Linked DNA regions of Styela clava. The protein of the gene in region 1 purifies or fractionates together with the protein of each later gene. This does not show direct contact. Links are inferred from orthologs where the notes say so. Each region holds a gene or a part of one and is shown in the gene's direction. Other genes may lie near its edges.

The links. Proteins that work in one complex are often made in the same cells at the same time.
Region 2: the proteins of axin-1-like (region 1) and low-density lipoprotein receptor-related protein 6-like purify together in Homo sapiens (affinity purification with western blotting; 3 studies listed by BioGRID). This does not show direct contact. The link is inferred for Styela clava from reciprocal best matches to the Homo sapiens genes AXIN1 and LRP5.

The regions. Positions count from the first base shown.
Region 1 is NC_135256.1:17,129,902-17,137,891, reverse strand, and holds the start of axin-1-like, read left to right. Parts: upstream 1-4,966; 5' UTR 4,967-5,081; coding exon 5,082-5,248; intron 5,249-5,469; coding exon 5,470-5,760; intron 5,761-6,291; coding exon 6,292-6,415; intron 6,416-7,177; coding exon 7,178-7,384; intron 7,385-7,608; coding exon 7,609-7,730; intron 7,731-7,990. Other genes in the region: ATP-dependent RNA helicase DDX19A-like, read left to right, coding at 806-922, 1,528-1,725, 1,937-2,111, 3,023-3,090. UniProt on the Homo sapiens protein: Component of the beta-catenin destruction complex required for regulating CTNNB1 levels through phosphorylation and ubiquitination, and modulating Wnt-signaling.
Region 2 is NC_135261.1:20,798,365-20,806,289, reverse strand, and holds the start of low-density lipoprotein receptor-related protein 6-like, read left to right. Parts: upstream 1-4,852; 5' UTR 4,853-5,095; coding exon 5,096-5,156; intron 5,157-6,628; coding exon 6,629-6,801; intron 6,802-7,091; coding exon 7,092-7,333; intron 7,334-7,925. UniProt on the Homo sapiens protein: Acts as a coreceptor with members of the frizzled family of seven-transmembrane spanning receptors to transduce signal by Wnt proteins.

The DNA.
Region 1 (7,990 bases):
TTCAATTAAATATATGTCTATAAAAAATATATAATAAAATCATGTGTGGATACTAAACTAAGGAATGCATGTTATAAAAGAAATATTTTGAATAAAACAGAAAAGAAGCTGTAATGGCCCTTTTCTCGACTTTTGATCACCGAAAATATTCTTTCTATACTTTACCATTGCAAATTTTTCGAGGCTTATTTTAAGAATTTCGGGTTTGCTTCGGGCTCGGGCCTGCAAATACAGTTAATTAGTCGGGCCAGGTTGGGTTTAATACCCACGGGCCCGAGTCGGGTCGGGCTGGAATTTTTGGGCCCGATGTTACCTCTACTCCATGTGTAGAAATCACCATACCCTTTGATCAACTTATATCGGAAGTGATTTTATAAGAAATACATTTCAACTATAATATGACTATTCGAAGGTTTCAAGACAGCTGCTATTGTTAAAATTTTTAAAAGAAATTTATATGAAAATATTCAAAAAAAAAAGTTGTTATTTAAAGCTGGTATGCAATCCTAGTTTGAAGCAATATTCACCAAAGTATTCCAACAAAAGGTTTACAGGAGTTTAAAAGTCAAAAATATGTTTCTACTCATTATCTCGAAGCAGCTTTTTCAAGTTTTGCTCTTTTGGGTTATAATCCTCATATTGTAATATGTAAAATTTACACAGGTTGTCCAAGAACATAACGCTATGATTTGCATCTTTTCATTTGTAACCATATCTTTATTACATCATGTTTGTCTTTTTCAATAGTTTGCTTGTTGTAGCCATTGCTATATTTGTAAACATACACTCTTTTTATCATTCATAGCTGAGAAGAGAAGAAGAAACATTAGACAATATCAAGCAATATTTCGTCAAATGCACCAGCAAAGAAAAGAAAGCCGATGCTTTGTCTAATATTTACAGTGTACTATCTGTCGGCCAGGTACTGGTGTAATTATTTATAGAAAATTTCCTTCCTGTATTCTGAGCATAATTTACTATTTCAACATCTTCTATCCTTCTGTGATCGGATTAGTCTTTATTGACACTAATATAGGTTTTCTTCTTCAGAACACTTGCAAATTATAATGAATGGTCATATGAAGGTGCAAACTAGGGATAGGATGAGATTCTTATTTGAGTCGAATCCACACATTTTACGACTCAAATTTGAGCATTTAATGTAAAATCTATATAATGTTCAAATAATATGTAAACTGGTAGTCTATCCATCTTGGATTGCCAGATACTTTATCTCTACTTTATAAATTAGGCTAATTATGCCTGGCCAACAGTTATCCAACATTGTAGCCTTGACCCCAGCATGAACTTCACTAATACTTTTCCCAGAGTAGTTATGAGAGAATGATGTGTAATTGTTGAATTTGATTTTTAATTGTTACTCACTGAACTGATTGGCGTTTTAACTTGACCCCTCTCTTTCTGGAGTGTTCACTATTTTAATTTTCATGATTGGTTACAAATTTTTGTATGCAATGTCTTATTTTGTTGAAACTAAATTCCAATCCATTTAATATTTTTTGTCAGGCAATCATATTTTGTGCAACAAGAAAAACTGCGAAATGGCTTGCACAGACGATGTGTGAAGGAGGATTTGTTGTTGCCTTGCTAAGTGGAGAACTGGATGTTGAACAGAGAGCTTCAATTCTACGTCGATTCAAAGCTGCCAAAGAGAGAGTTCTTGTAACAACAAATGTCTGTTCGAGGGGAATTGATGTGGAACAGGTAAATTTTCTAAAATATATTGTATGCTTATTCATATATATATATATATATATATATACGCTACCTCATATACTGAAATAATCTGAACACCATCATTTTTTGTCATATTGTTTCAATACAACATTGCATAAAAATAAATAGTAAAACATTGAAAAACAGACCACAGAATTTTCTTCTTTTTTCTCAATTTATTTCCCTTTATGTTAAACAGGTCACACTGGTTGTGAACTTTGACCTTCCTATCGATATGCAAGGAAGAGCGGATTGTGAAACATATTTGCATCGTATAGGTCGCACTGGCAGGTTTGGAAAATCTGGAATTGCAATCAACTTTATCAGCCAAAACAGAGATGAAATGGTTTTGCGAGAAATCGAAAAACATTTTGGTGAGTAGTGTTGATACCAAGGTATTGATTAACCAGGTTTTCAATGTCTGAGGGTACAATAATAATGATGACATTTTCTAATACTGCTATGATGCAATTCACTAGAAACAATCATGGAAGTGGCACATGACAAGATGTTAGAGTTACGAGTCTGATTTGACTAATCCGAATAATAACTGAGCTTAGAACTTAAGTTGAATCTTCAGAGTTTGTGATTTCACAACAGATAACAAAAGCATGTTTCACAGATAAATTGAGCCACATATACGTGGTTCATGCACCGAAAAGCACATAGACATATTTTCTGGCCACATTAGGGACAGTACGCACCTAGTATGTTACGAAAGAAATCAATATTTTCCAACAAGACCCTGGTGATAGATACATTATGTTTTCAGAGAGCCTATGTGGTCGATTGAATGATTTTGACTAGATATTGTTTGTGCTGATCTTCGGAGGGATGGAAAGTACATAGCATAGGTTTCAATTAGTAGATACAGAATTTGATTGAGACCTAATATAGAATCCTTGTCCCAAAAATATGTGGATTCTAATTAAATCAAGTTCTGATCCAAATCTCGACCCATCTGTACAAAATATATGCAAAGACATATTTCAAGATAAATATTTTTGTGTCTTCCAAGTGACATTCTTTATTGCTGAAATTATGATGCTATAAGTATCATTTTGTTTATCCTGTCCTTTCTCTAAAGAGCACTGATGGGGCCAGAGAAAGGTTGTGGAGAAAATGGGTATATATTATTCCAATAATCGTCTATTTTTTATCAGGGGTTTACTAACCCTTGTAGTCAATTGTTAATGCCAATACTGTATATATGTATATAGGCATAGCATACTATGAATAAGGGTAACAGGGACTTATTACTAACGTTATGGTTGTTTTATTTCAGGAATTAAGGTTCATAACTTGGACACCAATGATTTTGATGATATGGAGAATAAGATTGGGGAAAAGTGAACAGAAATCATGCACACATTTTAGACTTTGTTTTGAAATTTCGTTTTTTGATCAGTTACTACTTGCTGAACTTTTTTATTCAATAAATAAACAATTTCTTTCTCCATTCCAAAATATTCTTCTCTGTTTTACTGCTGTAGCTGAATTCGGTGTTTTGAAATATTAGTCAGAGAATGTGAGTTTACAACAGTGTATTTATCATGAGTACTTTATCATTGAGTGTATGCTCAAATATATGGACACGTCACAAGGTGCCACTATATTTTATTCTGACACATAAAATACGAATCTCCGCAGAAATTTTTGAAAAAAGTAATAGCCTTATGGCGAAAAAATCAATCTTTAACCACTGAAAATTTCTAAAGCAATTGGTCCAGTATTCGAAGAGAAAAGCGATTTTATAATGGTGATGAACTACAACATAATATTGAAACGATCGTTATGTCGTGTCCAATACCGTGTTTTCTCGAAAATAAGACCTAGCCTGGATTTTAAAAATCATTTTAATATAAGCCCTCCTCTTAAAATCAGACCTAGTTGATACGCAAAATTGTTTTTGACCTAGTCGGTAGCAAAAATTCTCTCCTGCACGCTTTAAACGATTGATAAGCTAACTTTAGCAGTTGATTTGAATAAAAAAAACGTGTTATTTATAAGTAAATAGATAACGGCTTTCATATTTTGTATATAAATTTGAAAATCTCGTAATTCTTTACTTTGTAATTTTGTTTTTATTAAATGAAAATATAAGATATCCCCCGAAAATAAGCCCTAGTGGTACTTTGCGGAAGTAACTTGAAATAAGACCCAGTCTTATTTCCGGGGGAAACACGGTAACACGACTCAGCCCGCAGGTGCACAGCTGAAAACCACGGGTCTGGGCTGGAGTAATAATTGAATTGAATATCAATCTGAAAAATATGTCTGAGCACTAAAATTTCAATTGTTGTCTCATCTTTGGCATCTGCTGATTAACCGATGTTATCGAAATAAACATGGGTGTCGATGGTCAGGGAAACATCCGCTGAACAAAATAAGATTAGCCTTGCTGATGAAGACATGATGGAGAGAACATCACCCTCTTTGTTGCCCTCACCATGGTAAACGGGGATTTGGCGCCACATAGCGGCATAGCTGAAATTCGGCATATCAAAGGACATGCCGCGGAATTCGGCACTGATCAAAGACTTCGGTTGGGCCTGACGAGCGGATGTTTTGAGGTTTTGCGAAACTTGGTTGACTGATTCGTAGTCTCTTTTGTTCCTTTATATAGTTTTTCCCAGCTAGTAAATTATCAAATAATTTTCAAACACACCAGAATAGTTACGGTATAGGTCGTTTTAAGTCTGAAAGTACAGCAGTTCTACCAAGGTGACTCGTGACTGAAAAATGAATGGCATGGATTCATTTTCAAAAATTTGATCAGTATCAACTACAGCAGACTACGTCTAAAACTGTACCGGTACGCTTGAATATAAGTTGATTGTCGAGGGTTGGTTGCTGAATTAGAGGATGACAACGAGACCAAATCAGAGAATTCTGGGATTAGCAGTCGATTAGACGGGACTTGTGAACTTTCTGATTGCATTGCTGTAGATTTATACAGATGTACTGGTATACTCCAGAACTTATATAAATCAGTACAAACTGTATAACTTTATTTGCCTGTGACAGTAGGCTATGACCTGTTGGTTTATAGTACAGTAGTATTACAGTATTATCATATTTGTACCGGTATGTAGTCGCAACAATTAAAACTGAAAGAAGCTATTATGACTCAGAAATAATAATATAGTCCTGTAGACTAGTCTATTATGATATTATTATATGCAGATATGAGTTATCGGTTCATGTCTGTAATGAAATACAAATTTTCATGATATTGTTCAGATCATTCTAATATCATACTATTGCTTATATGTGAAATTTAGTATAAAATATCAAATGAAAATGGTTGAAAAATAATTACAAAATGCACCAAGTCAAGCAGCATGAATAACTTTGGGGTACAGTCGTTTTTACAAGGCCATAACTTCACAAAGCCATATGCAAGACCCCCTGCCATTGGAGAAGAAAATGAGGTCACATCTGTTGATGGACGTATGTCAACACATAGCAGTGTGAGTGGGAAATCCGAACTGTCGACTGCAACACCCAGGTATATTTCATAGGTTCTTTTTATTTTATCGATACATTCCAGCATTCTGAGTCCTCCAGTTGTATGTTTGTGTTTTATTTAGTCTTGTTGATAAATACAATTTAATTCTAAAAGTTCATTCTGGAAAGCAATTGACTACGTAGATTAGTATATGTATCATTCTTCGCTCATTTCTCGAAGTTTTAAACCTAACTATTCTGAAATTTGATTTTTTTTTTCAGGCGAACTGACATAGATCTCGGATTTGAACCAGAAGGAAGCGCTTCACCTCTTCCTACTTGTGATCGATGGAGATCATCACTTCACAATATGTTGGAAGATAGTGAAGGAATTCGATTATTCAAAATATTTCTTGCTGATAGCAAAAGACAAGAATTATTAAATTGTTGGTTAGCTTGTAAAGGATTCAGAGACTTTGGTACAAAAAATAATTATTCAAATAATTCTTCGGCTGCTTCATCAACAACAGGACCATTGACAGCCCAAAGAACTCAGTTTGATGCTGTAACTAGGTGAGAATTATTCTATTGGTAATAGTTTTGAAAGTATATAACAGAAATATGGAACTTGCTCGAGCACTGTAATCCACTGGCTCTCAACCTTTATCTCTTGTGGCCTATTTTCAGCGTCAAACAAAATCTCAGGCTCACAAAACCTTCGAGTATCTTAAATGTTTTTATTTGAACATTACCAATACAGTAAAAGTGTCAATAACAAAACTAATCCATGTCTATTTATCAACTTGTCAATTTGAACTACCAAATGAGGGTTCAACCTCGAGCATAAATCACCTCTTTTTTTTTCAATTTGTACTTGATGTTTTCTTGGGATCTACTGTAGGCTCAATGAAAACTTCAGGCCTATTTTGAAAATCTGGTTGAATTGAATTGTAGTTTTCTATTCTAAGCATATCTACTGGATCCCAATTTTATGTCTATGCAATTGTCCAATACTATTTCAAAATGGATTACCAGCTATTTTCTTGTACAGATTGTGCATCATTGCTAGTTTTGTATTCATGCATTTGTTGATTATATTTTCAGAGGAAAACTTGCAAAGACGATTTTCAATACTTACTTGAAGAAAGATAAATGCCATGCAGTGTCAAGTATCATAAGAGATGCGACCCGACAGTATATTTGCAAACAAATAAAGAATGCATTGCAGGTAAGTTTTTTTACAACATGAATATATAGTATAAGTAATAATTGTATGGTAATAATGAATATCTGAATTTTGACATTGATTCCCAGCTTAAATTGTTCTATCAGTATCAGATATAAACTAGACACATCACTTTTTGGTTGTCTAACTGTGCCTTTCAATAGTTTGTGTTATGATTTTTGATAGAATTGAAACCATGTTAATGAATGTCAATGAACACACTATGTATTTATGTTTAATATATAATATTAAGGTGGACCGTTATCAAAACCATGACAAAGATATATGGTTTAGGGCGGGTGTGCAACAAGCGGACCATGACCCGGCCTACTAAGCCATGTAGTTAGGCTTTTGTGAACAATCTGATTTTCCTAATTAAGCTTACAATCATAATTCGAAAATTTATGTTTAAAAGGCGCTCATATGGTAAAATACATAATGTTTTATTGCGCTTGTCAGTTGTCACTGCAATTAATCTTCTCTGGTGCTACATAGAAAAACTAAATTTTGTGTGGCCCAGGTAGATGTATGAAGTTTGTTTTATGGCCCACTGCCAAAAAATGTAGCACACCCCTGGTTTAGGGAAGAGTTTGTGTTATGTTCTTGTTATGCACAATGTTTGAAAAAACAAATGACTGGGTTTTGGTCAGTCCAATTTCCAACTCAAGAGCTGATGATTTCATTGGATGTAAACTGTACAGTACACTGCCCTGTTAGTCATTGAACTTGTAGAAAAGTTTTCTCCAACAATGCTTCTTTTTTTAGGCACAGAAAAATATGTCTTGTTCTGTTGAACTAGACGCTTCTCTGTTCGACCAAGCTCAAAACGAAATCGAATCCAATATTGAAGAAAATTCATATATTTCATTTTTGAAAAGCGAACTTTTTCAAAATTATGCTGCACAATGTGAAAACAAACCCAGTAAACAAAGCCCTCAAAATGCATCTACACTTCATCATTCCGAAAACAAGGTGAGGTCTTGATTTTGTGCAATTTTTCATGTCAAAAAGTGCTTCTCCACATATTGAACTTGCCTGTCACTGTTTCTTCATGTATCGCATTTTGATTACTTGCAATCTGATGTAACTTGAGATGATTTATATAGTTGGTTCCTTATGATACTTAAAATTAATGTGAAGCCTGATTATTTTAACCTATAGCCGACATATGTTTTTTATTTCAAAATTGTCTCCAGAGTGCACCATCGAATGCTCCTCAAGCTGCTCCAACTGAATTGACGGTACCTGAGGGCAGATATGGATATTTACCAAGACTCGATGAGAATCGAGAATGGTCTTTGCCACCTGTCCAACCAAAGTAAGAATTTTTGCTATTCATTATGATCATTAGCTATTAATCATCCTAGAGCAGCGGTTCTCAAACTATGGGTCGCGACCCACTGGTGGGTCGCAAAAGGAATCTTAGTGGGTCGTTTAAAGATGTAAAAAGCTTTGATTAATTATACTGGGTATTAGGATCGGTGGCGACTCGAATATGTAAATCCTAAAAAAAAAAAAAAAATTAAATTGAATTTAAATTCTGATCTGTGAAAGTTTCCTTTTTACGATCTTCTCAAA
Region 2 (7,925 bases), on another chromosome or scaffold:
ACATCAACAGACAGATTAGTAATGTTCAGCATGCAACACTGTTTCGTTGCATAATATTGCGAAATAAATAAAATTTGATATGCTGGTTCACCGATATACTAAACCAGGGGTCGGCAACCTTCTGGACTCGGCGTGCCATTTTATGAATAATGAGCACCTTCACGTGCCAAACATTTTTATGTGTTTGGTTTGCATAATTATGCAACTACCTTATTTGAAAAGTAAGAGAATGAAAAATAAAAATTATTTTATAGGATAACGTGCATGGAAATTAGCTTACAAGGGATTTTGTCATACGGCATCTCTACCTTCGACCTGTCTTTGTACGACTTACGGTAAGTAATAGGTATAAATGCCACTTACGATTAGTTTTGTAGCCAGAAACAATGTGAATGTGACAATACTAAAGAATATAAAATTCATCGCAATATTTTTGTTAAAGAAGATAAAAGTCATTCCAATATTTACGCTGAAATGATGAGAATTGTGGCTTCCATGGAGTACCCAGTCAGCCAGACGCGCAGTCAGGATTTTCAAAAAGGGGGGTTCTGAAACAGTCGCCGCGATTACGCGCTCGTAAGATGGGTTGACTTTTTCAGCGTATACCGGCCCTTCGGTCGCGTAAAATATTCAATTCATGACAGCTACGAGACTCTATGAAATTTCCTTCTTTATTGATATAATTGTGTCCAACGTGACTCGTGGTTGTGTCCTCTTGCGTCAAAAATATAAACATTTTTAGTCTAAAATACCGCTCAATCTGTTGACGTAAAAATATGAGATGAGCATGCCTAATTGTATTTAGTTTCGATACTTTTTGTGATCTTGCGAATTCGTTATCGCCGTTAGAAAAATCTTAAGATTTGTAATGAAATCCCGTATGGTACAATTAAATACATATAAAGTATATATATATATAGATATATATATATATCAGTAAATTGGCTGATGGAAACATTAAATGCATGAATTATGCTATTCAAAAATGTGACTAAATAGCATCGTACTTTGTCCGAATATCATACCAAACAGCCGAAAAACGAAAAAAAGTGGTAAAAACTGACTGTAGGCTACATCCCATTAAACGCCATTGCTTGATTGCCTAACTGTCTGAGCTTTTCCACTGCCGGCGATTTTCGTGAAAATGAGTTTTAAAAATTAATGTAAATAACAATCGTCAAAATTCCTGAAAAAATATATAGAATCCAAGCCATCAAATAATTAATTAATCTATAAAGTGTGTATATAATAAATCCGCACTCAATCATGTTAAAAACGATTTGAATTGAAACTAAATCATGAGCATCATCGATGCATAAATATCTTGATTTTACTGAAACCCACGATGCTTTTGTTTGAGTCGAATAAATGTAGAAAGATAATCAAGAACATACATATATATATATAAGAAAAGATTTAACGATCAAAAGAGATATTTCGCTCTACAAAAGCTGACTGATGTAACGGTCATTTCTTAAAAGAAAAAAGAGTATATATAAGATACTGAATGTATTATAGTGAGGTAGCAGCGATGGGGGGTGTGTCTGTATGAACAACCGTATCACAGCAAGGTAGTTCAGCAAAATTCCCTCACCTGTACATTATGGTTTATTGCATTTATAAAGTGTTACTTTGGTATCATTGAGCCAACATCGACATTGGATGAATTTCCATTGTCAGCAACTCCACAGTCAGCTTTTGATATATGATTGCCATGAAAACAAGCTGGTTATACTCAAATATATATATGATGACGACACACACGAAGACCAAAACGAAATTTTACAAAGTGCCTACCAGTACCAATTTAGCCAATAAAGAACAGTGTTGTACGTTGTAGATGAGTTTAATATTGTAGATAGACACGGAGAACAAACGATGAAGATACAAGACCTAATACATGCCCCAACTTGGCAATATGTTTTCAATAGAAGTTTATCTTTACTGTTCACTTCCAATTAGAAGATTGATCAATTTAGCAGTGGCAACCACTACAAAATTATTAACATGGTGTGGCAAATAATTTTTTTCCTTTTTATTGATATTTTTGTTTACTGTGTAGTTTACCATAAGCTTGTCGCGTTTTCTTTTTTACTTAAATTATTTCTCTTTAGTTGTGTGTGTGTGGTAGGTGCGTATGTGAAATAATTTTAGGCGAGTGAACACGTACCACTTCTTCTTGGCAAAACCTTCCAACTTATATTCTGTACGTTTTAAACCTTATTTTGTTTGCTCTGTTGATTTCATAATCATTTTTTATTTATTTGTTTTTATCAATCATTCTATTGTTATGCTGATTATGGAGCCGGAATAAATTTATACTTATTATGAATAGACAGATAGTTTATTTTGAAAACTCCATAACAAATATAAATTAAAAATGGAGAATTCTGGAGAGCAGGCAAAACCTAGAAAAAAGTTTATACCATGAGAAGTATCTCATGTCCCTGCCCACCAGCACGCACACAAAAACACAAGCCCAGTTGAATGAGGTTTGGGCCAAACTTAACAAACAAAATACACGATAGTATTGAACTTTCGGGCTGTTGTACTTTTAACACTTACGTTGATAATGACCAATACAATCACATTCAAAGATAATGTGGGGAGTGGAATGTAATAAATTGACGACGATAGTCATACCTTCACATCAGAACCTGGGACATGAACGTGCCATAAACTGATATTGTACATATCATTGTGGTGCCGTACCTCTTTGTCATGTGTATTGTACCTGTACAAGAGTTTTATTTGTATATTTCATGTCTGTTGTCCTACTATAACGCAGCAGTCCTAAACTGCAGTTATACGTGTTGGGGTGCATGTCCACATCTGTGTCTTAGGCCAGTAAGGTCTTACACATGTATCCCGTCTCTTTTATACCGTTATGCAGATACTGTTCCATTTTTGTGGCAAATAAACATAAATACATACATACTCATGAAGCCATGAAAGTTTTAAGAAAAACCAAGCCATGAAAAACTACACTGATTGCTAGATTGGGCATTGCGGAAAAGGTAAGTAGTTTAGGTATTATGCAGATACTGTTCCATTTTTGTGGCAAATAAACATACATACATACTCATGAAGCCATGAAAGTTTTAAGAAAAACCAAGCCATGAAAAACTACACTGATTGCTAGATTGGGCATTGCGGAAAAGGTAAGTAGTTTAACTGATAAGTAGTTTAATCGTAGTAGAATATATTTACGGTGAACGAACAAACGCAAAACCGTGACGGTAAATTCGGTGTGCGGACACTCATAAAATATAGTGCAATAAACTGTGAATGACCAAACTAAAAAAAAACAGCAGGAAAGCAGATTCACTGAATGCAATACCAGGTATTATTAAGTTCACCCAATTCGAAAGAAACAATTTATAAGTAACCTGTTTCAGTTTCAAAAAATAGGTAGGCCCTACAGCAAAAACATTTTTCTGAAGATACTGTAGCAACAACATTAACTTCAAATGATGTTCGAAATTCACTATGATGTGATATAACTATTTGTTTGTTTTGTTTATTTTTATTAAATTCAGTAACTGCAAATTTGAAATCTAGAATCTAGATATTTTTTGAGGTCGAACTAGATGCTTTTATTCGGACAAAAGTGGCAGCCCCGGACTAATCACAGCTTCGATGACGAGCGTATTACAGCCGAGAATTTCAGTTTCTTCTGTGGTCTGGTGGTTTTCTTAATATGTTTGTGTTTGCATTTATTTATTTTTTTATCATTGTGGATGTATAATTTTTTTTGCCTCCATGATTTTTCTATGCAAAGGTTTATTTCTGGGAATGGGATCAAATCAAATTTGGATGGGAACTAATCAACTATTAATTCGATCAATTGGCAAAAAAAAGCGCCGTATAAGTTATTCCGTACCTTGTATACCTACATTGCATGCTTAGAATTCATACTGCTGTACTGTGAATCATAGTAAAATTGACAATTTTGAAAGAGGCAAAGGACAATATTAAAAGAGGCAAAAGTGACAAACGGCAAAGAAGACCATACGATTTGCATACGGTATGGTACCGTACCTGCTGAACTGTCTGCATGTGAGCCTGTAGGCCGACTACGGTAGTACCGGTACCCGGTATAGGATTTTACATACCGACCTCTCGTCTCGTTAGTACGGTGCCGTAGCGACATGTGATTAGTTAGCCAGTTGGACTACGGTACCGGTGGTACGGTATCAGATTCCGGTACCTGTCTAAGCGTGGGTCAGTACCGGTAGGTTAGGTCTGTCAATCTGTAGGTACCGGTACCGGTACCATGGGTGAATTAACACGTACCACTACTTTTTGGCAATACTTTCCATCTCATATAATGTACGTTTTAAACCTTATCCAAGGTTTTGTTTACTCTCCTGATTTCATAATCAGTTTTTATTTATTTGTTTTTATCAACCGTTTTATCGCCTTTCTGCTGATTACTGGATTATGGAGTCTAAATAAACTTATCTTATCTTATAGCAAATGCTAAAATAGGATCAGCTACCCGTAATACAGTATTGGATTAAGCTGGCTTCTAGTTCAAAAATCCAATACTGCAAAAGCATTTCTGTAATATCTATTAACCATGATTTTTTTAACATAGTCTACAGTAGGTCTGTAGGTGTTGTAACAAACAAGCTATGGTATTTATGGATCTGTAATCCTATGTCTGTCTGCCTGTTGAAGGTTTTTGGCTGTTGTTGTATCCATTTTTGCATTTAGTACATTGAACTCACATTTCAGCATTTTTAATCTCATGTCACAGTGTCATGCATGTTCCACTCACAACTATCTACGGTACGGTACCTATGCTCAAACTTTCATAAACAAGTCAAACTTTCAAATATTAACCTGTTTTTTTAACAGTATTTTATATGAAGCTTTATCAATAAAGATTCTTATATTATGTAAAAATGAAGCTATTTACTGACTTACCTGAAGTTGTTTGCACATCATGGGATTTATGTCTGACAAGAAAAAAGTGAAGCTTGACTTTGTTCTCAAAAGTTACTCGTCTACCTCAAGATAACTTTAAATTCTTGTAAAGATCTTTAATATTTGCTTGTTTGTGGATTTACCTGGGCAACCGTTTAAAAAAATGGGAGTACTCAAGATAATCTTCTACCTCATTCTCATTTATTCATTTATTGAACCTCTCGGTAAGTTCTTTTCTCTGTTCATGATTTCATGAGATAGCATATTTCTATCTTGTCACATTTCACTTTTGTGTTGTGTTCCTTGTATATACAATACTTATTGACTTCAATTTTATTTTTTATACCGGATAGTTACATGCAGGAAGTGTTATTGATAAATAAGGAAGTGTTTGGAGTGAATCATTTCCTTTATTGATGATTATATAAATTTTAAGGCGCATGTTTACTAAACGCCGTAAGTACTTCTAGTTGGCGCGGCACAAACATTTTTGCATAATATGTTATTCCTAACCCCCACCTGACTACATCATTCCAAAATTAAGTCACTACAACGTCATAGAGCTTGCCAAAGAAATGCTAAGATTGCCCGAAATGGCATCTTCGCCGACAATATAAAACTTGCTTACGCCAGCGATCTCTCTCATATCTGGATCGCTAAGACGAGAAAACGAGAGAAATAGCTTGCTTGATTCTGGGTGATTGTCTGCGCGTTTTAGACAACATTCCATATACTTTGACGGGCCTTATTTTGTCACTGTGACGTAATTTTTGGTTGGCGTAGTCAGGTGGGGGTTAGAAATGACATATGCGAAAATGGTTATGCCACGCCAACTAGAAGTACATGAAGGCGTTTAGTCAATTAGCCCCAATTTTCATTTGAATATCCTCCCATGAAAAACATACATAAAACAAAACAATGAACACACAAAATATTAGGAAAATCAGGAAAACTGACAAAGACTCTAATAAGGTTTAAAACACATTGAAACACATGTGCCAGTTTAACCTATATTATAAGCACAAACATAAAATACGAATGTGTATCGTTCGGACATCTGACTTGTGTAGCATAAACACCCTGCCGATAGTTAGTTACTCAATTCTGCAGCTGCACTCTTGCCCGTGGAGTCGGGAGTTGAGCATGTTTTGTTGATATCAGAGTCTGAGATGGAGTCGTATTTTGAAATTTTCTTGCAGGACAGAGTTGAGCCAGTGTCATAATTGTATGTCTCTGGAGTCAGAAATAAAAATTTTCAATAGTAATAATATTTTCAACAAATTTCAAAACCGCTGAGATGACTAAGAATTTGAAAAAAGAATTGCCAAAAATTTGGTTATCAAAATTAAAGTTTTATCCGAGCTGGAGTCGAAAGTTTTTATCTGCCTGTAGTAGTACCGGTAGTCCGTGCTAAACCAAATTCCTTAAATGTCTCAAGTTTTAAAGTTGGAATACGATGTGTATTTCTCAGGAAGTTAATTTTATTTTAGTAATGCTATGTATGTGAATAAAAACCCTGAATTAGTAATCGCATCGAATGTTCTGTGTAAATTTTGCAATACATTCAAAATTAAACCTTGTTACAAAATAATGCTATATTAAATAATAAATGATCAAGTTTTTTATATCTTTCACATTTCTAAAATCTGTCAATTTTTTTATCGTGTTCTAACTTATTATTTGATATTTTATACAGCTTCCAATGATTTGCCCAAGCTCCTGCTTGGAAATCGTGCAAACATTCAACTCCTCGACGCGGCCAATCCAACTGATGTTGAATTGATAGTAGACGATATTGACTACACAATGTCATGTGATTATATTTACTCAGATAATTTGATATTTTGGATCGATTCAGCAGCTGGACAGGTAACTGGTATTGCCAATATTAGCAGGAATTTTAGGAAAGCTGGACAAACATTATCAATTGTTGAACTAGGCTTATGTTGTTTTTTGCTTTTTTATGGGTTTTGCAGCCCATTGTCTGGTATGTAGCTATTTTGATCATGGGACAAAAATTGAATATCTATAATTCTTATGTATATCCAATGGAATGGAGCTTTTTTAATAGCAGATTCTGGTTTTATTTGTGTGTCATTCTAATTTTGCTTTGTATTATTTGTTCTTATAACACGTAAACACTGTGATGCATTTTACAGGATAAAATACAATCAACTTTCACGAATGTAAGTTTTGAAAATCGGATAAAAAGAAACGTCATTACAACTGGACTTGTACGTCCTGATGGACTTGCTTGTGACTGGATAAGTAAAAAATTATATTGGACAGATGATGAAACCGATCGCATCGAAGTCAATGACATAAATGGCAAGATTCGTAAAGTTTTGGTCTGGGATCAGCTTGATCAACCAAGAGCAATTGCAGTTGACCCAATCAAAGGGTAAGAAACTGACTGTATTTTACTTACTAAAATAAATTTTCATCAATTTCAAATTGTGAAGTTCCATTTTTACGAACTAGGCATTACATATCTGAAATTTAATTTTGTTTTAAAAATGTACTTACATGTCCAGTTTCTTTTTTCATTGCCATCTTAATCTTTAAAGATCACAAAGTTTACCATAATTCTCATTGTTCTCATTTCTCAACTGTTATTGTAAACCATTATTGGTTTTCTTGTCAAAGGTCCTTGTCACCTCTTGAATGTGGCACTCACATAGAAAATTTGTGAAGTTGAGTGTGTGCGTTTATTGATTATATTGGAATTACTTTTCTGTTTTTTCTGAAGGTGTTTCACTCACCCATGGATGATAGTTTTTTATTTGTTTTGTAAATGTGTTCAATTAAAACATCAGTTTGCGTTAGTGGGTAATGATTACCGCAAAAGGAATATGTATTATCTGAATCTATATTTCATTAAGCAAAGGGAGGGTTTTTGTTTACTTTTTCTGAAATTAACAATGAACAAGACATATCATGATTTGTGCAGGCTTCCTATTGGAATATTTGTCACCAATAAAGCTTTACGTCTT